4 linked regions of the Diceros bicornis minor genome follow. The protein of the gene in region 1 purifies or fractionates together with the protein of each later gene. This does not show direct contact. Links are inferred from orthologs where the notes say so. Each region holds a gene or a part of one and is shown in the gene's direction. Other genes may lie near its edges. The genes, in order: SS18, DPF2, SMARCC2 and BCL7C.

The links.
Region 2: the proteins of SS18 (region 1) and DPF2 purify together in Homo sapiens (affinity purification with mass spectrometry; 4 studies listed by BioGRID and IntAct, counting the BioPlex papers as one, with this or other methods). This does not show direct contact. The link is inferred for Diceros bicornis minor from reciprocal best matches to the Homo sapiens genes SS18 and DPF2.
Region 3: the proteins of SS18 (region 1) and SMARCC2 purify together in Homo sapiens (affinity purification with mass spectrometry; 3 studies listed by BioGRID and IntAct, counting the BioPlex papers as one, with this or other methods). This does not show direct contact. The link is inferred for Diceros bicornis minor from reciprocal best matches to the Homo sapiens genes SS18 and SMARCC2.
Region 4: the proteins of SS18 (region 1) and BCL7C purify together in Homo sapiens (affinity purification with mass spectrometry; 3 studies listed by BioGRID and IntAct, counting the BioPlex papers as one, with this or other methods). This does not show direct contact. The link is inferred for Diceros bicornis minor from reciprocal best matches to the Homo sapiens genes SS18 and BCL7C.

What each region holds. Positions count from the first base shown.
Region 1 is NC_080755.1:21,352,172-21,359,794, reverse strand, and holds the start of SS18 (protein SSXT), read left to right. Parts: upstream 1-4,612; 5' UTR 4,613-4,704; coding exon 4,705-4,773; intron 4,774-7,378; coding exon 7,379-7,455; intron 7,456-7,623. UniProt on the Homo sapiens protein: Appears to function synergistically with RBM14 as a transcriptional coactivator. Isoform 1 and isoform 2 function in nuclear receptor coactivation. Isoform 1 and isoform 2 function in general transcriptional coactivation.
Region 2 is NC_080770.1:7,847,534-7,854,547, reverse strand, and holds the start of DPF2 (zinc finger protein ubi-d4), read left to right. Parts: upstream 1-4,000; 5' UTR 4,001-4,060; coding exon 4,061-4,092; intron 4,093-7,014. UniProt on the Homo sapiens protein: Plays an active role in transcriptional regulation by binding modified histones H3 and H4. Is a negative regulator of myeloid differentiation of hematopoietic progenitor cells. Might also have a role in the development and maturation of lymphoid cells.
Region 3 is NC_080756.1:12,582,694-12,590,435, forward strand, and holds the start of SMARCC2 (SWI/SNF complex subunit SMARCC2), read left to right. Parts: upstream 1-4,724; 5' UTR 4,725-4,777; coding exon 4,778-4,888; intron 4,889-6,911; coding exon 6,912-7,031; intron 7,032-7,651; coding exon 7,652-7,737; intron 7,738-7,742. UniProt on the Homo sapiens protein: Involved in transcriptional activation and repression of select genes by chromatin remodeling (alteration of DNA-nucleosome topology).
Region 4 is NC_080765.1:21,104,641-21,112,409, forward strand, and holds the start of BCL7C (B-cell CLL/lymphoma 7 protein family member C), read left to right. Parts: upstream 1-4,760; 5' UTR 4,761-4,915; coding exon 4,916-5,007; intron 5,008-5,539; coding exon 5,540-5,618; intron 5,619-5,941; coding exon 5,942-6,050; intron 6,051-6,143; coding exon 6,144-6,305; intron 6,306-7,766; coding exon 7,767-7,769. Other genes in the region: CTF1 (cardiotrophin-1), read right to left, coding at 1,035-1,153, 2,311-2,335. UniProt on the Homo sapiens protein: May play an anti-apoptotic role.

The sequences.
Region 1 (7,623 bases):
GTTAAATGGAAGAAAAACATCGTATTAGTTTCCTATTGCTGTTTTAACAAATTATTACAAACTTAATGGCTTAAAACAACACAAATTTACTATCTTACAGTTTTGGATGTCAGATGTCCCAAATGAGCCTCCCTTGGCTACAGTTAAGGTGTTCGTAGGGCTGTGTTCATTCTGGAGGCTCTAGGGGAGAATCTGCTTCCTTGTCTTTTCCGTATTCTAGAGGCCACCCACACTCCTTGGCTCATGACCTGCTCCATCTTCAAAGCCAGCAATGGCTGGTTGAGTCTTTCTCAAGATGCTATCTCTCTGATTATGACTCTTCAGGCTCACTCTTCCCCATTTAAGGATATTTGTGATTATACTGGGCTCATTCAGATAGTCCAGGTTAATATCTGTATTTTAAGGTCACCTGGTTAACCACCTTAATTCCATCTGGAACCTTAATTCCACTTTGCCATGTAACCTATCATATTCACAGGTTCTGAGGATTGGGAGGTGGTCATCTTTGTGAGGGTGAAATTATTCTGCCTACCACGCCCATTCATAGAGAAATTAGGGAACAATTTATAGAGAAATTGGTATATTATCATCCTCTATACATTGTGAAGTAGTTAAAGAACAGTTGTTATATTCTTTTACTAAAGGCAGAGTAACTGCACATCATGCACAAGGTCAGAGAACATGCTAAATGGGAAAAAAATCATTTGATCTCTAAATTATGGCCAGAAAATTTACCAAGGGTAGACTGCACTCTCCAGTACTTTGGACCATTTCTAGTCTTAAAGTATATATTTTTCTCCTTATTAGATTATTAGGTACAAATCTTATCCTCGTTTAGCAATTTATAATATCCCATGTGTTTGACACATTTTACCTGTTAAAATTGGGACAATCATAAAGAATGTAATATAAAATAATCACTTAGCACAGTGGCTGTGGATGATAAATGCTAAATAAATAATTAAACATCTTATTATTTCTAATAGCCTTTTAGATAGGCCAGCTGTTTTTCAGGAAGGCAAATGAAATACAGAAGTGACCTGTCCAGTATCATGCTGTAGGTGGAAGAACTGGGAACTCCAAACCTGTGCATTTTTCACAGGGAGTTAAGATAGCAGAGAATTTCACATAGAGACTAATTTTTTTTTAAAAGCAATACTTCCCTATAACATTAAACTCCCAAATATAATTGATTTAGCTCCTCCTTAATTCATTCTATGTTTGATACTGTAAGAAGAGATGGAAATGTGCCAGATAGGCTATTATTGTCTACTTTGAATGAAATCTTCTGGAGTATTGAAAATAAAGTCTTTTATGGATAATTGGGAAAGGTGATTTGTTCTTGCCTGAAATAATGATTATATAGAGAGATGTATGCTCTTCTCCTTATAGTCTTGAAATCTGTGGAAGCTACAACTCAAAATGACTCATCATATGCCATGGAGACAGTGAGTGGAAATATTTTGAAAGATATGACCTGAGGGGTTTTGCTCTGAGCCCAATTACGAGCAGACAGGCTTGGTCTATGCCTTCCCAATGTATTCTAAAAATAAATGGCAGCACAGGGGCTGAAAGTATCAGCAAATTTGACAGTAGAGTTAGTCTATTAATTATAAAACAATAAGTATTAAAGAAATGCTTGTATGAAAGTAATCTCAATTATCTGAAATGCATCCTATTTTTTTTGTGCATTAAGATAATTTTTAATGTCATGACTATATTGTTTCACTAAATGTTGAGCATATTCCTGGAGCACTTCACTTTATCAGTTCAGTGAAATACATTTGAGGAATAAAAATTCATGTAAAACAAAAAATTGAAACATTTGAAAATCAAATACAGCCAATTTTCTTATTACCTTTTTTTTGTTAAGTGTATCTACATTCATTAGTGTGAATAAATCAAGACTTAATTGTTCATGCAGATTATTTTACTTATTCTGAGCCATTGTATATCTTCTTTTATTAGGATAATTCTAAAAACCCTTTTACCTCTTCGTTATGTGACTTCAATTCCTTCTTCAGATGTCTCAATCCAAGAGCAGTCTAAATAACAGGACTGATTTTTCTGATTGGGGAGATGCTTACCTGGGTAGCTCATTTTTAAGTTCCCAGAGTCATTTCTCCAATTTGGGCTAAGTTCCCATATGCATTCTCCGTTTTCTCCTTACCTAAATCCTGGGGCCTCTTTATTCTCCTTTTCCTCTCAACTCTGCTACCACTTAACTTAATTTGTACTTTGGAACTCCTCTCTCCCGAAATAATGGTGAAGTGAGACAATATCTACTAGGTGCCCCTAACTATCTTTCCCCTAACTTGGGGCTCTTACAGTTACAAAGCCTCCAAAATTCTAAGAAAGTTCCTCCAGGCTGCAACCTTCCCTCTCCCTCTCTGAATTTTCGACTTGTCCAGGTCAAGCTGACTGATTGGGTTTATCAAGGAAGCTTGAGAGTAAGGTAGGGTCCTTTTAAAGTATCTTCTGTGAGGGAGATCATTTGTATTTCTGGCTGGACCTTTATGCCAATGCTTCCCATGTGATGGTATTTTTATAGCACATGTTATCACAGAAAAGGGTATGGTTATCCATGCCTAGGGGTTGTGGGTGCCCTAAGCCCTACCCTGCTACTTGGAAGGAATAAACACCTCAAACAGATCTGTTACCTATTTTGAATTGATTTTTTTTCTTGCTGTTGGGAAGCTGTAATTTAAACAAAAAGGTATCTATCTCTGGGTACCTGCTTGGAATATTTTTTTGTTGATATATAGAAATTCAGACAACTGTTCCTACTGGTTCTTTAAGATTGGGGTGCTATCTTCCAAACAGATAGAATTGGAGTGGTAGGTAAAATTATTTTTAATTTTTTCCTACGGAAATACTGTTCTTAACTACTAAGGCATTTTTGTGTAAACAGCGAGACATGATGATGAAAGCCAGGTGTTGGATATACAGTGTTTAGTGGTGGATAAGACTTAGTTTCTGTTCTGAATTCAATAGTTTTTCTAATTTGATGTAATTACATTGAGTTCAAATGTACCAGAGTGGTTTTTTTTCAAGGCTTAAGGTAGCAAAAGACAATTAAATTCATAAGAATAACTACTATTCGTAGGAGTATAAATTCTCTTCCCTTAATTCTTAGGATGGCTTGAGTCTTTTCATCCTGTAGGTCTCAGTTTAAATAAAAGACACAGGACTCCCACCCTAACTCATGTGAGTGCCCCTGTCATTCTCTCTCAGTCCCTTGTTTGCTAGTCTTTCTTAGAACTTTACATATATACCTGTTTGTTTACTAGTTTCTGGTCTGTGAGCCCAATTAGAATATAAGCTGCTTGAGAGCAGGTCCCATGTCCAGCTTGTTCACAGCTGTATCCTAGGTGCTTAGCATAAAGCCTAGAACACAGAGTGCATCCAAATTTGCTGAACGAACGAAACTCATGATCCTTTTGTGAAGAGCATTTACTTGAAACATAAATTTAAAAATATGCTTTTTTTTTAAATTTTTCCAGTTCATTTATATATAAACTGAGAGAATGATTTTTGAACCTCATTGTTGGGTCACGTTTAATATAAACTTTTCCTTTGTGTCCTATGGAAGTCTAAATTGACCGAATAATAAAACCCCACACCAACACGTTACCCATATTTGCCCATGTTCCTTCCATAATTTGAAAGCTTTTTTTTTTTCCCTCACGCTGATCTGAAGACTAAATTGGGCCTAATTTACAAGGCACTCTAAGTATATAATTGGAAAAGAAGAATGAGGATGCCCTATTTCAAAACTTATTTCCAAAGATCCAAGTCACACGAAATCGACCCACAGTTCGACTAAGGGTTTGTCCTAAGAGGCGCACTCTTCTCCTGTGGCCGCTCTAGCCCATTTGGCCGACTGCCCCTGAGTCCTGCACACAGCCTTCGTTTCCCGATTTGGGGTCAGGCTTACTTTGCAACTCTTAGGCACGACTGTGTGTGCGTGCGAGACTGTGGACTCGGAGGTGCGCGTTTGGGGCGTAGCCGAGCCATTTAAACCAGCGAATCCGCGTTCACCTAGTCCTTCCACCTCTGCCTCATCTCAGCTGATGCTTCACGGGTTTGCACGAACTCCCGGGTCCTGACCTGCCTCCTTCACTCTCCGGGGTGCCCGGACAACTCAGGGCGGCCACTTCTTCCCGGGAGGGGTGAAGCCGAAGTTGGAAAAACTGAACTAGGTCCGGGGCAGAGCGCCGAAGAGCAGTCGGAGGGACGCTCCAGCGCGCCGGAGAGGGAGGCAAGTTGCACCCGCGCGCAAGGGGCGGGCCGGCTCGGGCCGCTCGCATTTCCTGTGACAGGGGCTGCCCCAGCCTCTCCCTCTCCCGCAGCGGCGGGACCATTTCCTGAATCGCTGAAGCGGAGGGAGGACTGGGGCGCGGCCCTACCATTAGCGCAAAGGGACGGGGGGGGCGGGTAAGGAAAGGTTGAGGGACGAGAGGTCAGTCAAGAACAGGAAAGTTCTACCGGGGCCGTGGTTGCCAACTAACGCACCGAAAACAGGACGTGTGTGGGCCGGAGTGCCTCCTTTAGGGCAGACCGGCCGACTGTGCGTTCGGCACTGCAGCATCCCCCCTCCCCGCATTCCCCAGGTGGTTCAGCCCGAGAGGCCGGCGTCTTTTCCCCCAGTTTGCCGTTCTCCCGGAGCGCTCGGGACTTGCCGATAGTGGTGACGGCGGCAGCATGTCTGTGGCGTTCGCAGCCCCGAGGCAGCGAGGCAAGGGGGAGATCACTCCCGCCGCGATTCAGAAGGTGAACGCTTGCGGGGTCGGGGATGCCAGGACCGCTTGGGAGAGACACGGGGGGGAGTCGGCCGGGCCGGGGGCGGAGGCGGGCCTGCTGGGAGGCGGCGGTGTGTGGGAACCCGAGCCGCGGGCTGTGCCGGAGTGGTGGGCGGGAGGGGGCGAACTGGTTCTCTCACCGAGTCCTTCGCGCGTCCAGGATCTTTTCTCAGGGACAAAAGCCCAAGGAACCGCCGCCCGATTTCTCTAGGGATGGGGCGGCGTTCGGGCGGCGGGGCGCGTGCGCCCGGCGGCGGCCGCGCGGGGCAGGGCTGTTTGTGGGAGCGGCGCCCCCCGCGGCCCCGCGCGTCGCTCCGGAGTTACTTTGGCGTCGCCCCGCCCCGCGCGGCGCGGCCGCTCGGTGCAGACCCGACCTCCGGGCGCGCGAGGCCGAGGGAAGTTGGAGCGCTGCTCGCTCCCTCCCTCCGCGGCGCTGCAAACTCAGGCGGAGTTGGGGAGCTCCCAGGAGAGCTTGGGGGACGCTGCTGGGAACGGTAGTAGGGTCTCAGGGGCGGTGGAGGGAGAGCTCTGTGGACTTCGGGGTTACCTTCGGAGTCCACTTCTCCCTTCTGGTTGCACCCCTTATCCGTTTACATCTGCAGCTGATATTTATTGAGCGCCTAGTCTGGGCGCCGAGGCTACAGTGATGAGCCGTGGTCCCTGTCTTCATGGAGCCTACAGTCTAGTGGTGGGGACAGTCTGATAGTCGTGGCCAATTACAGAAGTCGTGGTACACACACAGGGAACTGAGTCCTTCTTAGAGGGTAGTGCTGCCTCTGTCGCTGCTGTGTTACTGCCAGTTAGAGCTACAAAGGTTCTTGATTGTCCTCCACCTCTTGTGGCCTGTGAGCAAGACAGCATTCTGAATTGTAGTCAGCCGGACTTTGAAAAGTTACTTGCTAAATTTAGCAGTTTACCTTAAATATTTCGATTTTGTTTTATGCACTGGAGCAAGGATGAAAATTGAAGAAAAGTCAGCTTTTAGTACCACTCAGGACACCATCGTATGTCCAGTAGATTATGTTAATCGGCTTCTGTTTACTGTCAGCTTCTTTGTCGTGTGGCATTTGACATTTGCCCAACTGTTGGGTTGTTTTATGAACAAACCCGCTTGGCAGTGCTTGGAGATACAGTGCTTTCATACAATGCATGGGGCTAAGTCTGCAGCTTGGCAGACAGCTCCAAGTACACACACGCAAAACATGTTTCCGGAGGGATTCGCTTTTTATTTTTATTTTTGAAGTGTAGAAAAGTCAGGAGTTATTTTTTTCTACGAGTTTTTCTTTCGTACGTCTTAAGATATTTATCTTGGGTGATTAATTCAGAAGATGCTGATCAATTTTCATCCTCAGATGAGAAGAGAAAATGGATTCCTAACTAAGTGCCTCATTCTAACAGTGTAAGGGATTGATGTTCGATATGAGACATTCTAACGGTGAACTTTGTTAGGTTGAGGAATCTACTAGAAGATATGTTGTGAGAATGTCAGATTGGACTAAAGCATTTTAAGGACAAATTTTTTGGCATCCAATGATTCTATTTAAGAAATAACTGCACTTTTTGGAAGGGCACGTTAATATTTTTTTTCCAGCAAGTGAAGATTATGATTCATATGCAGAAAAAAAGGCACAAAGTTAATGTTAAATGGATCTTCTTTTTAATTAAAAGAGTTACATTAACTGAATTATTGAGATAGAGTGATTATGGTATTGTACTTTATGCTTTCATTGAATCCTGGAAGGGAGAAGCAGGTTCAGGAGGAACATCTACTCCTGTCCCTTGATCTTACAGATAAATCTGAGCCCCTGAAATCTTAAGTGGGTGGCACATGATAGCAAAGCTGGCACTAAAACCAACCGGCCTTTTAATTGCTACATCAGTGTTCTTTCCTTAATTGCCACTTTGCTTAGATGAATTATTTAACTCTCAAAGCCAGTATTGCTTTGAATGGTTATAAGATGAAGAATGGTAAATTGATAGGCTTTGTTTTTAAACTTTTGGGACAACGTAATTACAAGGTAAGCTCATAAAGTCTGCAGTAAATATTATACATACATAGAAATTATTGTATTTGATTATTCTGTATTTGGAGGATCACAAAACGGTACTGTATAAAACTTGGAAACCAGGCAGCTATCACCTCAAGCCTCCTGGGCTGAAGTTTTCATGTATTTACTTCATTCTGGATAAGGACAGAATTTTTCTTTACTACTACAAAGCATTAGAATGATGCAAAGCCAACTTGGACTCTAATAATTTGGCTCTTAACTCTAGTCTTAACAGGCTAAAGCTTTTGTTACAGGTAGCAGAGGTAATTAAATGTTTGAATACAAAAGAGACTCCAAATTTTCCCTTCTGGGCTTCAGGTAATAATTCAGAGGGAGAATAATTGGAATAGAGTTAATAAAAAAAATGTTGATTAAACATGATATCATTCCAGAAGTTTAAAGTAAGATTTAAAGACCTCAGTGGATTCAGTTCCTGTGTAGGTAAACATTTCTAGAAATCTGAATAATTTTTTAAAATGTTACTTGATGCATTAGATTTACAATAAACTTTTTCTAATTTTATTTCAGATGTTGGACGAAAATAACCATCTTATTCAGTGTATAATGGACTATCAGAATAAAGGAAAGACCTCAGAGTGTTCTCAGTAAGATTGACGTGAAAATTTTTTTTGTATTCATTTTTCTGTTGGTTAATTTTTTACCTTTCTTTTTAATAACAGCTTTATTGAGATATAATCCACATACCATACAATTCAACCATTCCACCCATCACTCCAAAAAGAAAATCCTGTACCCGTTAGCAGTCACTCCCC
Region 2 (7,014 bases), on another chromosome or scaffold:
TGTAGTTCACTTGTTCTCTCTTCAGCCATGACTCATCTACTTTTTAACCAATTCATTGTGTTCTTAATTTTGGTTATTGTATTTTTCAGTTCCAGAAGTTCTATGCGGTTCTTTAAAAATTCTGTTGTGGCACTTCTTACTAGGTATTTGTTCCCTGCAGATATTTTTATGCTCATCTTTTACTTCTTTAAACATAGTAAGCGGTGTTATTATATAGTCGGTATCAGATAATTCCAATATCTTAAATCTTTGTGGGTCAATTTGGTTTTCTATTGTTTGTATCCATTCTTACACAAAGTTTCTCGTTTCTTTGTGTGCCTAATTATCTTTGATTATGGGCTGGATAGTGTATCTGAAAAAATATTGTTAGAAATAATTTGAGGCCTAGGATGACAGTACATTCCTTCACAAAGGATGTTGCTTGGTACCAAATATGCTTGCGTCTGCCGGCTTACTAGGGACATTATAAAGATGGGTCTACTTTAATCCAAGTTCAAGGCTCGAGCTTCCCTGGACCACCCAGATAACATGATTCTGGGCTACATGTCCCTCTTAAAGTGTGTATATGTCTGTGGTGGGGTATCTGACTTCCTACCCTGGTCAGGCTCTAGGTTTTAATTTTTTACCCTCTCTCCCCAAAGACTGCCAAATAACAGCTCAATTTCACAGTTATATCTTCCAGATCAGTAAATGCCCCCAGGACAAAATTTGCTTTGAATTCTGGGCTTATCTTTCTGGGTTTTAGCCTCTAAATGTTGGTCCAGTAATTCTTCACTTTATCATTAACTTTTCAATACTTTTAAGATTTGTGTGTGTGTGTGTATGAGGAAGATTAGCCCTAAGCCAGTATCACATGCCAATCCTCCTCTTTTTGCTGAGGAAGATTGGCCCTGGGCTAACATCTGTGCCTACCTTCCTCTACTTTATATGGGACGCTGCCACAGCATGGCTTGATAAGTGATGCGTTGGTGGGCGCCTGGGATCCGAACCCGTGAACCCCGGGCTGCCAAAGCGGAATGCGCACACTTAACCGCTATGCCACCGGGCCGGCCCCTAAGATTTTTTTTCACTTTCTGTTTTTCAGTTTGTCTTTAGTGGGAAGGTTGGAATTAAATACCTAACCAGGAACCTGTCTCCCATTAACTACCTGAACGTAACATTAAGAAGATTCCCCGGGTTTCATTTCTATTTCCCCCTGCCCCCACTGAGGAATAGCAATCCTATTTACCCTTGACGATTAGAATAAGCCCAACCAACAGTGGTATCCCCTTTTCACTTTCTTGCCTTGTGGCATGTGGAACGCAAAATGGCCCATTGGCAGTCTCAGCTCCTGTTTTAGAAGAATCATTACTGTGCCCCCTGGTGGAAGCATTCCTCTCCTGGGTCCTAAAGGCTCTAGATCAGCCAGAGCCCAGAGCTGCAGGAGCAGGAAACAAACATTTTGCAGAATCGTTAGTTGAGATTTCAAGAGGCTGGACCCTACTTCCACTCCTTGGTTCTCGTCTGCAAGAGAAACACTATATATACTGGTCACTGGTTCAGAGCATGCGGAGTATCTATTGTTCAGTGATGTAGCACTTCTTAAAAGAATCCTGAAAGAACTGAAAGCCACTGAGGTTGGGCTCATAATCTGACTTTCCAATTATATATAACTAGCCTACTTATTATTACTCATATTTTTATTGAAATATACATACAGAGAAGTACACAAATCTTGTGTAGTTCAACGTTTACAAAGTGAACAAACCTGTGGAACCACTACCCAGATGAAGAAAAGGAACATTACCAGCACCTCAGTAGCCACCTCATGCCCCTTCATTGTCACTATCCTCCAAAGGTAACCACTCTCCTGACTTCCACCCCCATAGACCAGTGTGTGTGTTTATGTAACTTTATAGAAATGGAATCATACAATATATGTCCTCTTCTTACAACTGGCTTCTTTTATTCAACATTAAGTTTTTGAGATTCATTCATGTTGTTGTGTAGCAATAGTTTGTTCCTTTCATTGTCGTTTAATCCATTCTACTGTTGTGGGCATTTGGGTTGTTCCCAGTTTGGGGCTATTATAATTAATGCTGTTGTGAACATTCTTGTACATGCTTTTTGGTGTATATATCCACGAAGGGAATTGCTGGGTCACCGCATAGGTGTATTTCAGCTTTAGTGCCAGCGTACTGTCTTAGTTGGCTTGGGCTGCTATCACAAAAGACCATAGACTCGGTGCCTTAAACAACAGACATTTATTTCTCACAGTTCTGGAGGCTGGGAAGTCCAAGATCAAGGTGCCAGCAGATTGGGCTCCTAGTAAGGGTCCTCTTCCTGGCTTGTAGACATCTGCCTTCTTGCTGTGTCCCCACATGGCCCTTCCTCGTGGAGAGAGAGAGATACCTGTCTTCCTCTTCTTATTAGGGCACTAATCCCATCGCGAGGGTCCCACCCTCACAACCTCATCTAAACTGAATTACTTCCCAAAGGCCCCACCTCCAAATACTATCACATTGGGGGATAGGGCTTCAACATATGAGTTTGGGGTTACACAAACATTCAGGCTATAACGCAGACTTTTGACTCCTGCTTGGGAGTCACCTCTGATACCCTTTGTCCCTACAATCATTTGGTTCCCAGGGGTAGAAGAGTGTACCAGTGTTGTCTCTGGGTTTTTCTTCCAAGCCACCGACACCCACTCTGCAAGTTTGGTGCAGGGTAGGCAGTGACAAATACCTCACAACTCCCATCTGCCAAACAAGATTATAAGGCACAGTGATGGTAAGACGTGTCCTGATTCTGAAATATTAAAATGGGGGGAGAGGAAGGAATATGTGCATTGTGGAATTTATGAAATAAGGTATATGACACGGACAAAGGACAAAGCCTTGGGGACTCTGAAAGTTATAGGTGGAACAGAGGATGGAGAGCCAGCAAAAGAAGCCGAAGGCACTGCCAGCGTGACAGGAGGACAGCTGGGATAGTGTGTGTCTCACAGACCTGGAGTGGAGTTTGGAAAAGGAGGGAAGGGTGAATGGTGTCACGGGGCTTGATAGGCCAACGAGGACACAGAAGAAATCTCTAAATCTTTTGAAGCAGAGGTGGTGGTGACTTTGTTAGTTGTTTCAAGTGAACTGGTGGAAACAAAATTCCCATTAAACCTGGGCAGAAAGAGACTTGGAAATAAGTCAACAGAGATAGGGAGTATAAACAGAATATTTGCTTTAAAAGAGTGAAAAGAAATGGGGTGATAATTGAAGGCAGACATTGGCTAAAGGAAGGGCTCTGATTTTTTTTAAGGAGGATATTAAGCCATGTTTCTACATGAATTTGCATGATTCAATAGTGAAGGAGAAATGAATGGTACAGGAGAGAGAGGGATAATTGAAGGAGGGAATGTCTTCAGAACATAAGTGGAGGGAAGGAGCTTAGAGAGGAGTAGGAAACAAGGGAGAAGAGGTAGGTACCAGAGAAGATGGTGGCTGGGTTTGGTGGTAGGAAGGTGAGGTAACTTTTGTCAGACCCCAATATCTAGGGCAAAGAACTGCCCAGTTCTGGGGGTTAATTTTCCTCTCCCTAAAACGGACATATGTTTGGGGGCCCAAGTGGACTGTGCACCCCTCTGACCTTCGCTACCTGCCAACTCCCGCCTGTGAGTAAGGGCAAAAGGTTAACCAGGAGGTTAAGGGTGGGCCAGGTACCAAGACGCACGCATGCGCTCCACGTAGCCCATCTCGGCCTGCCAGTTTTCACCAACCTCTCGCCCTCTCATTTCTGGACCAGGCCACAGCCTTGCTCCCTCCTCCCGCTCCTCCAAATGTAAGAGGTGGGGCTCGAGCCGGAGCCTCGGGGCGCGCACCCGTGTCCGCCGCGCCTGCGCACCGGGCTCCTCGGCTCTCTGGCCCCCGCGAACAGCCCCTAAGCTCGTTCTCCGTTGCTCGTTCTGGGGCGCGCGCGCGCCCCCAGGCGGCGCCTGCGCAGAAAGACAAGGAAACTGGTTCCCCGGAGGGGTCCCGGCGCCTGCGCGCTGCGGGCTCCGGGCCTCCCGGCCTGAGGGAGAGGAGCAGGGAAGATGGCGGCTGTGGTGGAAAATGTAGTGAAGCTGTGAGTGGTCGTTTCTTTTCTCTTCTCGGCCGGGAGGTCTGGTGAGGGGCTTGGGAGTAGGGGGCGGTGCGGGAAAGGACGAGGCGGAGAGAGGGACGTGACCGGAAAGGCCGCGTTGCGACTCCTAGCGGGGAGGGCAACAGGAGACTCCGGAGAAGACGTTGCGCTTCTTTGGAAACTTGTGGAGGCCCTGAGGGGGGCACACGGGAGCCCCTGGCGGGCAGCCCCCTGCGCCGTGCGGGGCGGGGCGGGCTCGCGGTGTCCGGAGTATGGCACCCTTGCTGCGTATGGGAGACGCGCGGTCCCGATGTCGCTCCCGAGACGCCGAAGTCCGAGTAGCCGGGCCGAGGGCGGCCCGGGACCGACCCCTCCCCGTCGGCCTCCCGCAGCCGGCCCTGGAGCCCCAGGCGCCGTGAAGCCCTGCGGGGTGTTTTGTTTAAACAGCCCCGTGACGTTGGGGGGGCCGGGGGTCTTGGTACCCAGGACCAAAAATATTCTTGGGAGGAATTGAGGAGCAGAGACAGAAGGGAAAGAACTTCAGGGGAGCGGACCTTTGCGCCTTCCCCTCCCAGCCATCCAAACACGGGACCGGGACGGAAGCGTCCAGGGCGCCCCTGCAGCCTGGGGGAGCAGCTGGGTCGGCCGGCCTCGCGCTGTGCAGTCCCCTTGGGCTGGGCAGATCGCGAGCCAAGTTGGTGGTGGTTGGGAAAATGGAGAATGGTTGTGAGCTGTGAGTTAAAGACGCTTTGGGACCTGATTTCACCCAGCCCCCTCCCCGAAGGAGAATCTGAATGAGTTCTGAAATGGGTTCATGCCCCATGGGCGAATAGAGCAAGCGCCTTTTCATGGGTTAATTGGGCTTAGTGTTGGGGTAGGAAAATTGAGAGGTGGCTAGTTGTCCAGTCGGGGCTTCTGGATTTTGACCGGATGACAAGGTAAAGGTTTGGGAATTCTTCTAAGGGTCTCACCGCTTTTCATCTGCCTTCGTGTTAGACTGAGCCCCACTCTTCCCAGGAGCCTTTTTTAAGAGTACATTGCCTCCTCCCCTCCTCCTGCCTGGAGCCTTTTCTTTGAGAATGCTTTCCCACTTCCATTAAGCTAAGTGCCTTCTCCTTCTCCTCTTGTGGTTTTTTTTCCTCCTGCTTTCAGCTCCATGCTGCTGCCTCTTTCATCCCCCTCCTCCCAACACTATTATCTTTCTCTCTGATCTGCCCACTCTAGTTTCCCCAGCTCTCTCTTCAGGCTGACATTTCCCTCAATTTAGAAATGACGCTGTTGATCTACCGTTTATATAGTTATCCTTCCTGACTCAGATGTTCTTTCTTTGTTTCCCTGCCTTTCTTTTTGTCGACTCCCCCCATCCCGTTATAAGGGGAGGTTTTACATGGGTTTCTTGCTTCTCGAAAAAGAATCAAAGCTTTAACCTTGGAAATCTTACTTTACTGGGGGAACGTCAGACTTGCCTAGGTTTTGAGAGTTATATGTAATGAGATTCTTTCTGTTGGAAGACTTTCTTCAGGGAAATAGAGTTGCCAACTCTTTCTTGTAGTTTTAGCAGTGAGGGGTTCCCCATTTAAAGAAAGCATGACTTCTTATTTCTTTTTGAAGAGGTGTAGAGATTATGAGGGTCACTAGCCACTGGTTCCTGAGTACTGCACCGGTAATGAGAAACCAACTTTCTCCTCCTCAGTCCTAGCTGCAGAGGGCTGTGGACCTCAATTAAATACATTCTCCTACAGAATTTTCCCTTTAAGAAGTGGCTTCCATTCTTTCTGTACCATTCTCACCTTGGAAAGAGACGCTTTTCTGGCTTTCTCTTGATCATGGTATGCTTTGTTTTCTGACAGCTGAGATTATACGTTGAGGTCAGGACTACTAGCTCATCTTTTCTGACTTGCATCTTATTCTGGGAGAAGAATTTTCCTATTTGTAAATTCTCTGTCCCTCTCAAATGTGGTGTCAGAATTGAAGCAGTCTTTAAAGGGTCTTATTAGGGTAAAATAATAGTATAAAATACCTGGGGCTGCTGACTGGTCTTGAAACCTTCTGAGTTAGGTAGCAAGATCTAGAGGATAATGTTAGCTTGAAATTTCTTACGATAGGAGCCTTAAGTTTTTAAGAGCTCTCTCACACTGTCTTACCCTCTCCTCATCAGATCCTCTTCCGCCAACTTAAGTGTTTCATTCCCAGCTCTCTTACTCACAAGACAGTTTGCCCCACCTTCTGAAATCCCACTTAACTCATAAGAACTTGGATAGAACATCTGTCATCCATTCCCCACAAACTGTTTCCAGCCTCCTTGCTCTGATTTTGCAGCTCTCAGGCCGTCTGGTCCTTCCTTCCATTTGATTTCCAGTGTCAGTATCAATTCCCATCAGCAGAAACAAAGGAGCTGCTGCACTCAGCCTTGTTTATCCAGTTTTCCTCTGTGTGCTGAGGACATGGCTGCCTCCTAAAGGCGAGCAACTGTGAGCCTGTTCCCTTCTCTCCACTCTGCAACACAAGATTCATGCCTACCTCAGATTACAGTCATTACAGCTCATTGACTCCAGCCAGCATGTCTTGTGGTGTCACCACCTTGTGTGTGGTATGTGTCCTTTTCAGTTGCTGGGACATGCTAAGCTGTGCCTAAGTGGTCTCTTGTGGCTGCTCAGTGAAAGCCCCCCCTCGGATTCCAGAGCAGGGTTTGTTGGTGTAGCTCGAGTTATGGATGTAAGCAATGGAGGCTTACTCTGTGCAGCTTCCCATGCTAGGACCCTCCCTTTTATAGAATATGCCAGAGCTTATCTAGTCTAACCTCCCCAGTCTGTAGCAGAGGAACCTGAGGTCCACATGGATTGACTAAATGTCCATGTTTATGTGGTGACTTGCAGCCAAGCCAGGTCGCTTTACTCCCAAGTCAAGATGTTCCAGACACCTTCG
Region 3 (7,742 bases), on another chromosome or scaffold:
TGGGACCTTGGGGGAATTCCAGAAGTAATCTGGGACAAAAATCTGGAAAATAGATGCATGATAAAGTTGGTTAATGCTTCAGCTTTTTTTAAAAAAGTAATTTTGAAGAAATGAATCATTTAAATATGGCTCATAATCTGTGAAGGACTCCCAGAAATGTTTTGTGCAGTGACAGCATTCCTGAAACAAGTGCAGGTTGAGATCATTTCAGCTCAAGTCCTCTAATAATTTGCTTTACTGGATGAACTGCAGAGACACTTGGAACCCGTCAACAACTTGGAAGGGGATAATAAATTCTTGTCTGTTAGATTTCCCCCCCGTTAGCTTTTCAGTCACATAAAAGCAATTTTGATTAAGATCTAAGGATTTGTAGCTGAAAAGATCAGTATAAGGTGGCATTAGCTAGTCACTGGTTATAAGGTCAAGAAACAGAAGGAACTTCATGAAAGAAGGAAGGAATTAGGCTGACACATGGAGACACCCAGCCTAATTAGATTGGGGGTATCTTACTGGGAAGAATTAGGGATTTTAAAAAAGAGGTGATTTAGGCAGGGTGTGTTGATAACAGGAACATGTGTTTGATCAGATGGGGCGGTGAAGTTCCTAGACGGGAATAATAGGAAAGCAGTGTTTAGAGATTTAAGTGTGAAACTGGCGCACCTGGAAGGCCATTGTAACAAAAGCATGCATTAGATGATGTGATGGAGGAAGCAATGATTGATGAATGATGGGCATGGGAGGAAAAATGTCAGATAATTCTTAAGGTTGGAAACTACATGGAATTGAGAAAATAGTATTAACAGAAATGGAAAAAGTTGAGCATGTGATTCTGGGAAAGGAAGAGAAGTTTTGTTTGCATTTTAGGTGACCTTAAGTCAGCTGTGGAGACATATACATAGGCAGCTGGAGATAGAGGACCACAGTTTGGCTGAGAGGCCATGCCTGGAACAGTGGCTTAGGATTTTTGTCTTGGGAGGAGGGAGAAGAATGAAGCTTTGGTAGAATTCCACAGAAGGAGAGAGAAAACAAATGAGATGGAGAAATAGTATTCTAAGAGAAAAACAAGAGTACAGTGTCTCTACAGCCCAATAAGAAATCAATGGTTTCAAACATAGCAAAGGTTTCTACAAGAGAGATTAAGATAGTATGGAGCTGGAGGCAGAGGTAGACATTTTACTCAAAAAATAAAAGGAAGTAGAAAATAACGTGGTGATTTGGAAGTGTCAAATGCAGGTGTAATTTTGTTTGTTCTGAATTAATGAAGGATTGATCCAGTGGAGTAGGGGAATCTGAATGTGTTATGGAAGGATATTTATGGAAGGTTCTCTGGGAGGTTGAAATGAGTGGGATTGCAAGCCCAGGTGGAGAAGGTAACTTCAGGTCAGATGAACAAGGCCAAATACTGAACCAGTAAGTAAAGAATGTCAGTGGATGGAATGTAGTAAACATGTAAGAATGAGGAGAGAGAGAAGGGTGCTCATGCAACGCAAAGAACGATATAAGGATAGATAGGATTTGTTGGAATGGAAAGGGAAAGGGTGAAGGAATTGGGGAGTTGGGGTGGGCTGTAGGGATGGTAAAAATTTGAAATTATCTATTGTACATGAAGGTTCGAGGCCTTGGCCTCTCATCCCCGAAAGTTACAAGGGAAGCATTTGAGAGCGAAAGGTAGGATCTCCAGGTACCAGGCAACCTCCATCAGCTTCTTTTCCGTCCAGGTCCTCCATTTTATACACCTTGGAGCCGGCTTCCTATCACTACGTAATTGTCGGTTGCCCTCTGCTGGTCGATTTTAGTCTTGGCTCTCCAGAGAGTTAAATCTGAGAGCATGCGCAAAAAGGAGTACCGAGCCTATTAGGTTCTATTCGTTCATTCGGTACATATTTGATTACATCCATGTGTAAGGCCTAGTAGGGGAGATACGAACAAATAAAATACACAATCCTAACTCTCAAGAAGCTTAGAGTCCAGTCCGCGTGAAGATTAAAACACGTACACAGAACTACTGTAGAAAACATCCATTTATTCAGCAAAGATTCTTTTTCAATTGAGTGGCTTATATATGCCAAGAGTTTATATTCTACAGGGGAAGAAAGACTTCACATAATAAGATTAGGACGTAGGATGTGGCGGGCGACAGGTGGTTGGAGAAGACTTCCTAAGAGAACTGATATTTAAGTGGAGACTGAGTAGAAGGTGAGGATGAGAAAGATGATTTCAGGCCGAGAACGGCATGAAGACGGACAAATACTACACCGGGAACTAAAAGAATGCCAGTGGACGGGATGTAGTGAATACAGAAGAGCAGTGAGAGACAGGGACCAGGTCACGAACCACAAAACGCAGCCATGGAGGGGCTGATGGTCTCTGGCTACAGTGCGGATGCTTTCGTGCACTTTACATCTGTTGATTCATGTAGTCCTCACAACTACCCCTACTTTCCAAATGAAAGCTCCAGCAACTGGTAGGTCCAGCCTGCACTCACCCCTGAGAAAAGTGGACAGATTTGAGACATATTTAGGAGGTAGAGTAAATATAACTCGTTTTCATTTTGTTAATTTTTGCAGAGGTGTGTCAAAGGAAATGACTTGCAATGCAACCGAGTGGATGGTGGTGGTAGACGGATAGGTTCCAGCTGGAGTAATTCAGAGCCTCAAAGAGGAGGGGTCCGGGGCCAGCCTGGTGGCCCAAGCGGTTAGGTGTGCTCCACTGCGGCGCCCCGGGGTTTGCCGGCCTGGATCCCGGGCGCACACCCATGCACCGCTTGTTAAGCCATGCTGTGGTGGCATCCCATATAAAGTGGAGGAAGATGGGCATGGATGTTAGCCCAGGGCCAGTCTTCCTCAGCAAAAAAGAGGAGGATTGGCATTGGATGTTAGCTCAGGGCTGGTCCTCCTCACAGAAAAAAAAAAAAAAAAAAAGGAGGGGTCCAAGGATGTGCCAGATGGAAAGTGATCACAGTAGGGGGGTGGGGGTGATTTGGAAAGAACAGCAGGAACAATGGTGTAAAGCATAGAAAGTTCTATGAATTACCCTTGAACTCCCTGCCTTTTAGGGATCTTTCCTGGAGAAGACGCTGCCGTGCAAGAAATGAAATACAAAAAGAACATCCTACATATTCCCCACAATCAGAAACTGGGGGATAGGAAGAATGGGGTGAGGTTGGAGGATTAGAGGTTGGTGGAGAGATTTATTCCCCAGCTTGGTTAATACACAATTTAGAACAGTACCTGGCACACAATGAGTACTCAATAAAAAGTGACAGTGATCTTCCCACACTAGAGCTCCAGCTAGACCTGCAGTGTTTATGTTTCAACAGGCTACTCCCCCCAGCCCTGCAGTACCTGAGGCGCACCTCCTCAAGGAAATCCAAATGAGAGAATGCCCTGTTTCCTGGGTCTTCACTGTAATCAGACCTACAAGATGTGACTGCTGGTCATGAAATCCAGAGGTGTCCTCTTCTCCTGGAAACTCCAGTTTTGATTATTATAGCACAACAGGCAGTCACATTCCCAAATAAAACTTAACCCCTCTTCAACCAAATCCTTTCCTATTCCCTCCCAAAAGAATGAAACAACGGATGCCAAAGCTCTGCTCGCAAACCTGAAGTTACAGAATTCTGCAAGTGCCTTGTATCCTAGCAGCCAATACAGTTGTGCATAATTAAGCTTCCCGTGATCACTCCCATCCCCCCAAATCCGAGAGTGAGACCTTTCGGCTTCTATTTCCGAGACAGAAAGGGAACTGCACGAAAGACACACGCGAAGACAAGGAGTTCCCTTTACACGTCCTCAAAGGGAAAAAAAAACCGGCCGTCACGAACAGGATTCGAACCTGTGCGGGGAAACCCCATTGGATTTCGAGTCCAACGCCTTAACCACTCGGCCACCGTGACTTCCAAAACCTCCTTCAGCCGCGCGCTTACAGAGGGGTCCGCACTGCGACCGGGGGAGGACTCTGGCCCAAGTCCTGCACACACCCCATGACCTCCTCCCGCCCGCTCCTTACCTCTCCTCCACGCCACTCGGGGAAAGTCCGGTGGACGGGTGACCCAGGGAGGGAGGGTCTCCCGCCCCTCGAAGACTCAGGGTCTCAAGGAGGGCAAAGCTCTTTAGGAGGCGATGGCGAGGCCTGCAGAGGAAGCAGTCGGAGGGAAGGGGCTGGGCCTCCAGGGTGGCGCCCGGGGGACTCCTCGGGTTAAGGGCTGAGAGGGGGTGCGGGGTTAGGGGCGAGGGAGACTCGGGAAGAGTTTACACGGCGAGCTCCTGGGGATGGATGGAAGGCAGGAACTTCTTGGGGAAAGGGTCTGGGGGTCCCTGGGATTAGGGGCTCCGCGGGCTCAGGAATGTGCAAGGTGAGGACCACTCGGAGCCATGGGCTGGGGGCTCCTCAGGCGACGGGCGTCCCCCTGGGGTAGGATAGAGAGGTACCCTACTCCCCGGGCTGAGAGGCGAAAAGAGCCAAAAGGCTTCGCGTCAGGTCAAGAGCGACCTCAGAGAGTGTGCGCCCCCTCCAGGAAGCCGCCAGCTCCCCAAGGCTCCTGCCGCCGCCGCCGCCACCGGGGAGGCCGCCAGGGTCGGTCCCGCGCCCGGCGCTTCGCCGCCGCCACGCCCGGCCGGCCGGCAGGGGGCGCTGCGAGGGCCGGGGCCGGCCCAGGCAGCGGGAGGCGGCGGCCGCGGCGGCGGGAGGCGGCGGGAGGCGGGCGGAGGAGGAGGCGGAGGAGGCGGGAGCTGAGCTGAGCGGGGCGGGCGGCGGCGGCGGGCCCGAGCCCGAGAAGATGGCGGTGCGGAAGAAGGACGGCGGCCCCAACGTGAAGTACTACGAGGCCGCGGACACCGTGACCCAGTTCGACAACGTGCGGCTCTGGCTCGGCAAGAACTACAAGAAGGTACGCGGGCAGGGCCGCGCGGGCCCGGGGGCGGGACAAAGGACCGGCCCCCGCAGCCCCCGGCTCCTGCCCACCCGCGGCGGCCCGCGGCCCCTCCCCCGCGGCCTGCGGAGCGGCCCCCGCGCCCCTCCCCCGCTCCCGCCGCCGCCCGCCGGCTGGGATCGCAGCCCCCGCCCGCGCCGCTGCGCCCTCTGCCCCTCGTTTTTCTCCCCTGCCCCCGCGGGTCCCGTGCCAGCAGCCCACCCTCCCTTGAGCCATCGCCTTCCGGGCTTTTCCGGGAGAGAGGCCGCGGGTGGACGGGGTGCAGAATGGGCGTCCCCCTCCCCCTCCGAGCGTGCCCGCCGCCGTGCCCGCCGGAGCTCCCCGCGGAGCCAGGTACCAGCAGAGCTGAGGCCTCCCTGGTGCTTTGTGTATGTTCGGAGAGAGATGATGGGAGCCGGAGGGTAGACAGCCACGGAGCAGGCCCTTGGCTGCTCATCAGCCTGAAAAAGGCCCCCACGCTGGGATCACCTGTCTCTGCCTCCGGTCCCCCACGTCCATCCAAGGAGTAACAAAACCTCTTCGGGAGCCAGGCTATAGGAGTTGCTGGGCAGCGACTCCTTCTTAAACCCTTCTTCAGCTTCACAATGAAGTCACCCCACCACCTGGCCTTGCATTGCTTTGGGTTTGGGGTTCAGAGGCTAGGACACGCTGTATATCTCTAGCCCCCCACCCGATAACTGGAGATAACCAGGTAGTGAACAGAGCGTTGGAAACACCTTACCTGTCTTTTCCACCAGAGCTCTTGCTAGTGCTGTCTTTGTCTTTCCGCCTGGTTGAAAGGAACATCTACACATAAGATTTTTCTCTGGAGAGAGTCTGCCTCTCTCGCTTCTACCACCCCCCGTTAGGGGCTCTCTTTCTGGCTTCCCTTCAGCTCCCCAGTTCTTGCTACTGAGCTTTGCAGCCTGTCAGAAGTGTGATGGGTGGTTGAGGAGAACACCCCTCTGATCCTGGTTCTGAGCCTTGCCTTGTTCACGGAGGTCTCTCTGGGTGTCAGCATCCTGACAAACAGCTGCTGGGTCTGTGGCTTGTCTGTATCCCAGCGTGAGGCTCTGGTTGCCAGGCTTCTCCCTTTGACATTTTGGAAAGGAGATCAGTCTAGGGGCTTAGTCTCTGGCCCTGGGGGGATTGACAGCCTGTGACCTGGTTCAGCTTTCAAGCTCTTAGCTCTTTGTCTTGTACCTTTTCCTTCAAGGATCTGTTTCCACCTCCCGCTGAGAGGAGCACTCCTCTCTGTGATGTGATTAGGGTTGAGGAAACAGGGGTCAAAAGGCAAAGAGAAAGTTAGCCTCCTGGCTCAGTTTTAAATTGGAACAGAAGGCTAGGATGCTAGGTAGCATAATACAGAAATGTTTAAGAAGCCCAGGGTTGCTTGTCTCGGATATAGTTTCCTCCGACAGGACAGATGTTGTCTTGCTCTCTTCCCACTAGGCTGGATAGTAGCTAGTCCTTCCCATCTTTGGGGGGCGGGGGCTACAAAGAAGCTTGTGCTGGGTCCTAGCAGAAGCAGAATGCACAAGCTCACTCTCTCAGTCTGTTTGCCCTACTCGCTTCCTTGTACCTTTCTTATTAGGCTACATTATAGGGGAAATCTTGACCTTCCACAGAGTTACCCCGAGAAATACACCATTGCCTCGAAAGTGTGGCTTCCATGGCCTGAACTCCACGAACCTTCAGAATTTCATAACCCTCAGTGCTGTTGGCTAGAGATCAGGGTCATGCAACTCCAATTTCAGGAAGCAACCCTTACCCCCAGCACCCAACGCTGGCCCCCTAGGCTGGGGGCAGCAGAATTTCAACTTCCTGGTGAGGGGCATCTAGGGCCTCCCTTCTCCTATTTTCCTTTGGACACTAGACATGTGGGAGAAGACAACACTATTTTCTCTGCCCCAGATGCTTCCAGAGTTCCTGAGGAAGGAATAAGGGAGATGGTGGACAATTTATCTGGGGTCTGTGTTTCTCTCTTTCCTCTGTCTCCCAGTATATACAAGCTGAACCACCCACCAACAAGTCCTTGTCTAGCCTGGTTGTACAGTTGCTACAGTTTCAGGAGGAAGTTTTTGGCAAACATGTCAGCAATGCACCACTCACTAAACTGCCGGTGAGTACAAAAGCAAGGAGGCGAATCCTCCCAACAGGAGAGGGAGTTTTGGTTTTTTTTGGAAATTTTATGATTTTTGAGATTTGGGTCATTTCCTACCATCCCTGTATCTGGTAGGGCATTGTTGGCTTGGCTTACTCCCCAGTTTACCATTCCCATTTTCTTAGTAATACTTTGTGCAGTAATACTTTGTACAGGTTATCTCAGAGAGTCTGAGCTCCATACATGAACTCCCGTGGCATGGTTAAAAGGGGATGAGATTTGGATTTTCACGGGCCTGTGTTCAAATCCTGGCTCTGCCACTTGATGTCTCTGTGATCTTGAGCAAGCCATTTAAACCTTTTGAGTCATGGTTCCCTCATCTCTCGATGAGATTAATGTTTCTGTAATGGTTAATGAGGTAACCCAGCAGAGTACTTGGCACAAAGGTGGGGCTTTGTGAATATTGGTTTCTGTCTCTCCCCTCTTCCAGGCCACATGGTACAGTGGCCCAGGAGTTAAAGCATTCCAGCTTTGAGAGGGAGACCAGTTCAGCATGGGATTTTGTGAAAGGATTGTTAAGTAATAAGAGAATTTAGGGTGTAACTCTCACATCCTTCTTTCCTGTCTCAATTTTGTAGATCAAATGTTTCCTAGATTTCAAAGCGGGAGGCTCCCTGTGCCACATACTTGCAGCTGCCTACAAATTCAAGAGTGACCAGGGATGGTGAG
Region 4 (7,769 bases), on another chromosome or scaffold:
AGATGGATAGACAAAGGGATGATTCATGTCCTGGACTGGACAAAGCGGGAGGGTGCAAGATTTCACCACATTACTCAGAATGGCATGGGATTTAAAATTTATGAATTGTTTATTTCTGGAGTTTTCCATTTAATATTTTTGGACTGAGGTTAACCAAAACCATGGAAAGTGAAACTACAGATAAGGGTGGACTATGGTATTCCTAATCTTCCCAATAATGGATGTAATGATGATGATGATTTTGCAAATGAGGATATTGGGGCTGAAGAGGTAGAGTGACTTGCCTCAGGTCGTCCATCTAGGAAGGGGCAGAGCTGGAATTCTAACCAAAATTGGTAGGACTACAAAGCTAATTCTATTATCACCCTATCTGCATCATAATTGTTACATTATTATTTTTAATGTTATCATTGCTGCCCAAGGCCACAGCAAGTTGGCAGGCCTATAGTCTGTCTCATTTAAAACTATACCCTCCCTCCACCACACCAGAGCAATTTGGGGAAATACCTTCTTTCCTTGGTCAAAGCCCTCTGCCCAACTAAAGATCTTAGCAGATCCCCCTCTTCTGTACAAGTCCCCTCTTAGGATGGAATTTTTACCCTAGATTGAAACCATTTCATGGCCTCTCTGCATATCACAGGTAGAAGAGTTCACAGGTCATCTTGTTCAACCGCCTCCTTTTACAGATTGGGAGACCAAGGCCCATGGAGGCGAGGTGACAAGATCACACAGAGCATAGAACCTAGGTTTCCTGCCTCCCAGTGCAGAATTGTCTTCACTCTCTCAGGTTCCCTCTGTCTTAAAGTACCAAGGAGGGAGCCTCCAAGCTGAGGCGAATGGAGGGACATTTGGGGCACAGAGAGGGTCCTCCTCCAATTTGCTGTGTGGCCAGGGACAAGTTACTGATCCCTCTCCAGAGCCCCAATGTCAGCAGCTGGGAAATGAGGTTGAGAAAATGGGTGGTCAAGGATCCCTGTGATCTGTACTTCCCTATTCTCCAGGCCCCTGGCACTCCCACCCCCATCCCCACTCACATATTCCTGGAGCAGCTGCTCAGCATATTTGGTGAGGAGGCCGGCAAGGCTGTGTGTCTGACGGATCTTGGCCTCCAAGTGAGGAAGGGATGAGACTGAGGAGTCAGTCTGGGGGTCTTCTGGTGGGAAAAGGGGGAAGAATGAGGGCAGTCCAAATCCCTGCTCCTTGACCACCTCTTCCAGGCTGGCTCTCCCTTCCCAAACCCAGAAGCTCTGCTCTGAATATTCCAACTTTTAAGCCAGGCAGGCTCTGGCCCATTCCAACTGAGGGAAAATAAGGTACTAGATATTTGCCAAACAGTTGTTCTACCTGAAATGTATTCCCTGTCCCCAAATCACTGTTGAAATCCTATTAAAGCCAAATCCAAATACTGCCTCCTCAGCACAGACTCCAGATTCAACCCACCCTTAAATTAACTTCTTCCTTCTACTTAAGGCCATTTGTTCACACTTCCCAAGTTGTTCTTTTAATGGCTCTTTTATCTGTGTGAATCTGCCTCAGCCTGGCAGCCCTTTAAGGGTAGCTCTGTAGCTCAGTGATTGTTGGTGGAATTCAAGTCAGAATGCGCCTTCAAGGCCATTTTACAGATTGGGAGACTGAAGTCCCATTCCCTCCCTGATGGCTCTTCTGTGCAAGGCGCTGGGCTGGGCACCGGGCAGCGTCAATGAATCAACAACTGGCCTTCCCTAGCACAAGCTACGTGTTGGCGGGGAGGACTACATTTCCCGAGAAGCCCAGCGCGCGAGCCCAGGGCATGCTGGGGAATGTAGTCCTGGTCTGGCAACTCCCGCCCCGCCCCCCGCCCCCACCTGAGTTTCCCACCGCCAGTCCCTATCCTTAACAGCCTCGACTTTCGTCTCCTGTTGTTATTCACTAGCTCCTGGGGCCCAAAGACTTCCTCCCCTAACCCTACCCCTCCCTCTGGCCCCCAGCTCCGATTCTTTCCCAATACTCGGAGAAGATCCAGGCGTCCTGCCCCAGCCACGACCCCAGTCCTCCCCCAGGGTGTACTCGAACCGGTGATCTAACTCCTGAGCCCAACTCCCTGAAGGCACAGCCCCAGGCCTCCTCTACCTCTAAACTCTGGCGCTTGCTGTTTCCCACAGCTCACCCACAGCTCATCTGCTCGTTACCCTGACACCGGGGCCTTGCTCTCCCCCGCTCAGGCTGCTCCCTTCCCGGACCCGGGGGTGGCGGGGACCCAGACCCCAGCTTCCGGCCCTTCTGACCTTTGTTCCCCTCGGGAACTTGGCACCTGGCCCTTCAGCCCCTTACCCAGACTTCCCTCCCTCCGGCTCATGCTGGCCCCTGGCTGATCCCGGTTGCCTCCACGCCCCCGGTCCGAGGGGGGAGAAGGGGAAAAGGGGTAGGGGCGTGGCCCGGACGCAGCCAATCAGGGCTCAGACCCCAAACAATCCCCCTCCCCCGCCAAAGCCTTAGACAGGATTCCTTGGCCCTGAGCTCAGCTCCTTGCCTGCGCGGCCTAGTTGGGAAAGGGGCCTGAGAAGGGCGGCAGGTTGTCCGCATGGTTGACTCGGGACCTCGAGGCTGGGGGTGCCGGGACCTGGGAGGCAGACCTGCGTCACGTCGGGAGGAGGAGGCTCAGGCTCCGACCTGGGGCAAAGGTTGGCCCCCGGGCTGCTTATGGGAAAAAGCTGAGGGGATAGGAGAGGGCGGGGCTGGCAGGACAGGAATGTGCTGGCCCTTCCTCTTGGCTGGGGGGGAGGGAGGAACGGGGTGTGAGAGAGGCCGCGATGGGGGCCCTCAGGCTTGGGCCACACCTGCCCCGGCATACACCTCCTGGCGTGTCTTAGATACCTTCTGCCCTCCTTCTCGTTGTCACATCTACTAGGAGGGAGACAGATACCATCTCACCTCACCTCACCTTACCAGGCCCAGTAAGAGAACCCGTCTGACACACCCACACCTACTGAAGCATTAATGCATACAGACCTTCATTCTCACACAGGAACAAGCTTAAGAGACAGGTACAGGGGGTCATACCTGTATGTCAACCCCACTAACCTGGTGCAAACACACTTATCCCCACAGATGGTTCCCAAGCACCCACTCTGTCCTGGGCTCTGGGACCCAGAGATGATCCATACTTGGTCTCTGGCCCCCTGAGGAGCTCACAGAATGTTGGGGGAGACCATAGGCAACAGCAGGTAATGAGGTTTGTGAGTGAAGGGACTAGGAAGGAGGCCTGTGTGTCTGTGAGGATATTGCCATGAGCAGACAACTGCCAGAATAAAGTAAGAAAGAGATTAACTGGCAGAGGGCACAGCAGGTGCAACTGATGGTAGGGGCCACAATCACACACTTATTAACAGTGACTATTTCTTGGGTATTTACAATATGCAAGGCACTGTTCTAAGAGCTATATACATATTAATTCAGTCCCATGTTATAGTTGAGGAAATAGAGATAAGTGACTCGTCCAAGGTCACTGGACAAGCAGAGCTGGGATTATACTTCGGCAGTTTGGCTCCAGAAATGCTGTCATAACCACCTTCCTATACCTTAACCCCTCTGGACATAGTCACACCAAAACACACAGACACCATAGCTACGTAATAGCTAAACACATGCACACACAGCAACACAAACTTAGACATGTCATATCTGCTGGCAAACAGCCTCAAAATCAACCAAGATACATTTTAAGTAAACTTTTAATTGAAGTATAATATACATAGGGAAAAGCGCACACATTGTAAGTGTACAGCTCAATGTATTTTCAGAGTAAACATCCCCAGGGAATCAGCACCAGGTTAAGAAACAGAATAGGACCAGTTCCCCGAGCCCCCTCTCAGCCCCTCCCAGTCCCAAGGATGACCACTATCCTGACTTCTCACACCATAAATTAGTTTTGCCTTTTTTTTGAACTTCATATGAATGGAATCATACAATGTTTACTGTTGAATCTGACTTCTTTCATGAGATTTGTCCCTGTGGTTGGGTGTAGCAGGACATCATTCTCTTGCTGTGTCCATGGTGTGAACAAGCTATAGTTCATTTTCCACTCTCCTGTTGATGGGTTGTTTCCAGTTTGAGGCTAATATGAATACTGCTATGAACATTCCAGTACACTCTCTTGGTGCTCATACCTACGCATTTCTGTTGACGACCTGGGAGTGGAATTGCTAGATCATAGGGTCGGTGTATGTTCGTCTCCACTAGAAAACTACCAATTTACACTCCCCCAGAAATAGGAGAGGTCCAGTTGCTCTACTTCTTGGCCTGCACTTGATATGGTCCGTCATTCTCATTTTAGTCATTCTGGTGGGTGGAGACCCACTCATATTTGCAGTGTCTGGTACGCAATCGTCACTCAGTTAATAGATAGTTGCAAGAATGGATGAAGGAATAGTCGGGCAGGCGGGGGTGGACACACACACACACACACAGCCTTTCAAGGACACTCACGCGCAGCGGACGCGCTCCGGTACCCAGACCGTCTCGCACCCCCCACCCCCACCCCCGGCGTCCACGTGGTCTGAACGCACCGCCTCAGCCCTGCCGCTCTCGTCCACTCCTCGAGCTGCCCCCAACCTCCCTCTCGGCGGCGGGCAGGGGGCGCTGCGCGTCGGGGCGCCCCGAGGGGGCGGGCCCGGTCGGGGCGGGGCCGGCCGGCTTCCAGGCCTGGGCTCTGGCCGCCCGCGCCGCCGGGCCGCTCTGGGGACGGGCCGGGGCGGGGCGCGGCGGCAGGAAGCGGGGCGGGGACTCGTGCAGGCTTTGGGGAGCGAGGGAGGGCGCGGCCAACTCCCGGAGGGACGGCAGGCCGAGAGAGCGGCGTCCCGGCCTGGCGCCGAGCCTGAGCCCGCCGGACGGGAGGCGGCCCAGCCGCGGGCTCGGCCTCGGCCCCAGCCCCGCCAGCATGGCCGGCCGGACCGTGCGGGCCGAGACCCGGAGCCGGGCCAAGGATGACATCAAGAAGGTGATGGCGACCATCGAGAAGGTCCGGAGATGGTGAGCGCTGCCCCGGGGCCGGGGACGGGGCATGGCGGGGCCACTCCTTCCCCAAATGCGTCTACCCTCCTTTCGCCAGCTGTGGCCCCCAGTTGTTAGGTGTGCCCCCTAGCCGCGTCCTGGATCTACAGGGCTGTGTCCCCTTTCTCCTGGCTACACCCTGGGGTGTACAAAGCGTGTTCCCCAGCCATGCCCTCCCAGAGCAAGAGCCCCCATATATGCCCCGCCCCCTAAAGCTTTGACACTCCTCCCGCAAGTATGCCCCGGGATCTTCATTGCTACCCTCTCCAGCCGGCCCGTGGCCGCGCTCCCTATGTATACCCCAGGGGTCTGCAGAGCCATGGCCCATTGGGCCCATGTATGTCCTGGGGTCTGCAGAGCTCTCTTTCTTCCTCTAACTATGCCCTATTAGCAAAACTGCCCCTTCCCTCGTGCACCACCCACACGTCTGCTGGTATCCCCAGATGTGTCCAGTTCCTGGGGGGGATCTCTTTTCAGGCCTCTCTGACCCAATTCCCTCACCCTCCCACAGGGAGAAGCGCTGGGTGACTGTGGGCGACACTTCCCTTCGTATCTTCAAGTGGGTGCCAGTGGTGGACCCCCAGGAGGAGGTGAGCAAGCTCCCCCACACCAGGCCCTGCATCTGTGCAACAGCAGGCAAGCCCCTCCCCACCCTGGCCTCCATCTCCAGTCCCCACTCAGACCTCAAATGCAGCAGCCCAAACAGATGTTAACAATTATTAGCAACTCCACCCCTTCTCCCTTCTTCCTACTCCAGATCCCTGAGTTCAAGACCTAACCTCGTGTGCACAACCTCTGTGACCTCATGCAGGGCCTTTTGCTTCTCTGTGCCTCAGTTTGCTTATTTGTACAGTGGGGGCTTTGCAAGTACTGACTAGAAAGCTGGCTCTGACCCTTACCCTCTAACCCCCAGGAGCGACGGAGGGCAGGAGGTGGGGCAGAGAGATCTCGAGGCCGGGAGCGTCGGGGCAGGGGTGCCAGTCCCCGAGGGGGTGGCCCTCTCATCCTGCTTGATCTCAATGGTATGTAGGGATCCTGGAATTTGGGGGGCTGTGGGGATTGAGTGAGGGGACTGAGGGCCTCAGGCCCAACCCTCTTGGCTTTTGCTCCCACAGATGAGAACAGTAACCAGAGTTTCCATTCGGAAGGCTCCCTGCAAAAGGGCACTGAGCCCAGCCCTGGGGGCACCCCCCAGCCCAGCCGCCCTGTGTCACCTGCCGGACCACCGGAAGGGGTCCTGGAGGACGCTCAGCCCCCGCGGCTGGGCCAGGAGAGAGGTAGGACCAGCTGCCTCCCAGGAGCCCTCTCTTCTGAGTCTTGTCCTCTCCAAAGTTGAAGCCACCAGCTTACTCCTACAGCTGCTCCCTATCCTGTGTTGCCTCCTTAGGGAGGCCTTCCCTGACTCCCGAGGGAAGTCACTGCCCTACCTCTGACAACTGTCTGTCTCCTTCCTCTGGCTTCTTAGGGTCTGTAGATATTTATCACTATTCGAGATTTTCATGTAAATTTAACTTTTTACTACTTAAATGTCTTTCTCTCTGATTCCCACCTCATGTCAGCTTCCTGAATGTTGGGCCCATGTTGATCTTGTTCACTATTGTCTCCTCAGAACAACTTGGGACACATAGTAGGTGCTCAATAAATATTTGTTGAGGAATAAATAATAGTGATAATCCTAAGAGTGATAAATAAGTGCTAATAACATTTACTACTTATTGAGCTCTTGCTGTGTGCCAGGCACCCTTCTAAGCACTTTACGTGTTTTATTTCATTTAATCCTCACTACAACCCTCTGAGGGTTATAATCCTGTTATGATCCCCATTTGTAGACGAGAAACCAAAACCCAGAGAAGTTAAGTGAGTTGCCTAAGCTCACAGCCAATGAGCCAGCATCTTGGGCATGAGTCGTCCTCACTGCTCTTTCTTCCATATAGTCAATCACCCGTCTGGTCAGTGCCACCTCCCAAATATGTCTGCCTTCCTCTCCCTCCCCGGGCTGTCATCTCTCTCACCTGTTCCTGGCTCCAGCCTCCTCATGGGTCTCCTCTCCTCCAGTCGCCCCAGCACAGCTGCCAGAGCAACTAAAGCACAAGTTCGACTGGGTCATTTTCCTGCTCAGAGCCTTCAGTGGCTCCCTATGGCCTTTGACTCTGCAGCTTGGCACTCTGGGCCCTTCCTGAACTGTCCCCTGCTGACCTCATTGTTCCCTTCCAGGAACACCATGCCTTGGGCCTACAGACTGTATCTAGACTGTGCCCGGCACGTGTATACCTTTGCTAACATAAAACCAGTAACTGGCATTTACTGAGCACTAACTGCGTGCCAGACACTGTGCTAAGGGCTTTACCTGTATTCTCTCATTTAATCCTCACATGGTAATTACTATCATTATCTCCATTTTACAGATGGGAAAACTGAGGCCCAGAGAAATTAAGTCAGGTCAGGATTTGAAGCTGGGCAGTCCAGCCCCACAATCTGTGCTGGCTAAGCAAATGTTCCCTCTGCCTAAAATGTGCTCTACCTCCCCATCTGTCTGCCAGATCAAATTCTACTCACCTGTCAAGATCCCACCTAAATGTTATTCCTGTGTCTTCCTCCTGGGTTGCAGCCAGGTTCCTGGCTCCCTCCTCAGTGCTCCCACAGCCTGTGGGCTTATGTGATTGGTGTTTGTTTCCCCCTGGTTTGCGCTATGGCACAGAGCGGCTGCTCAGGGAATGTCTGTTAACTTGACGTTCCAGATC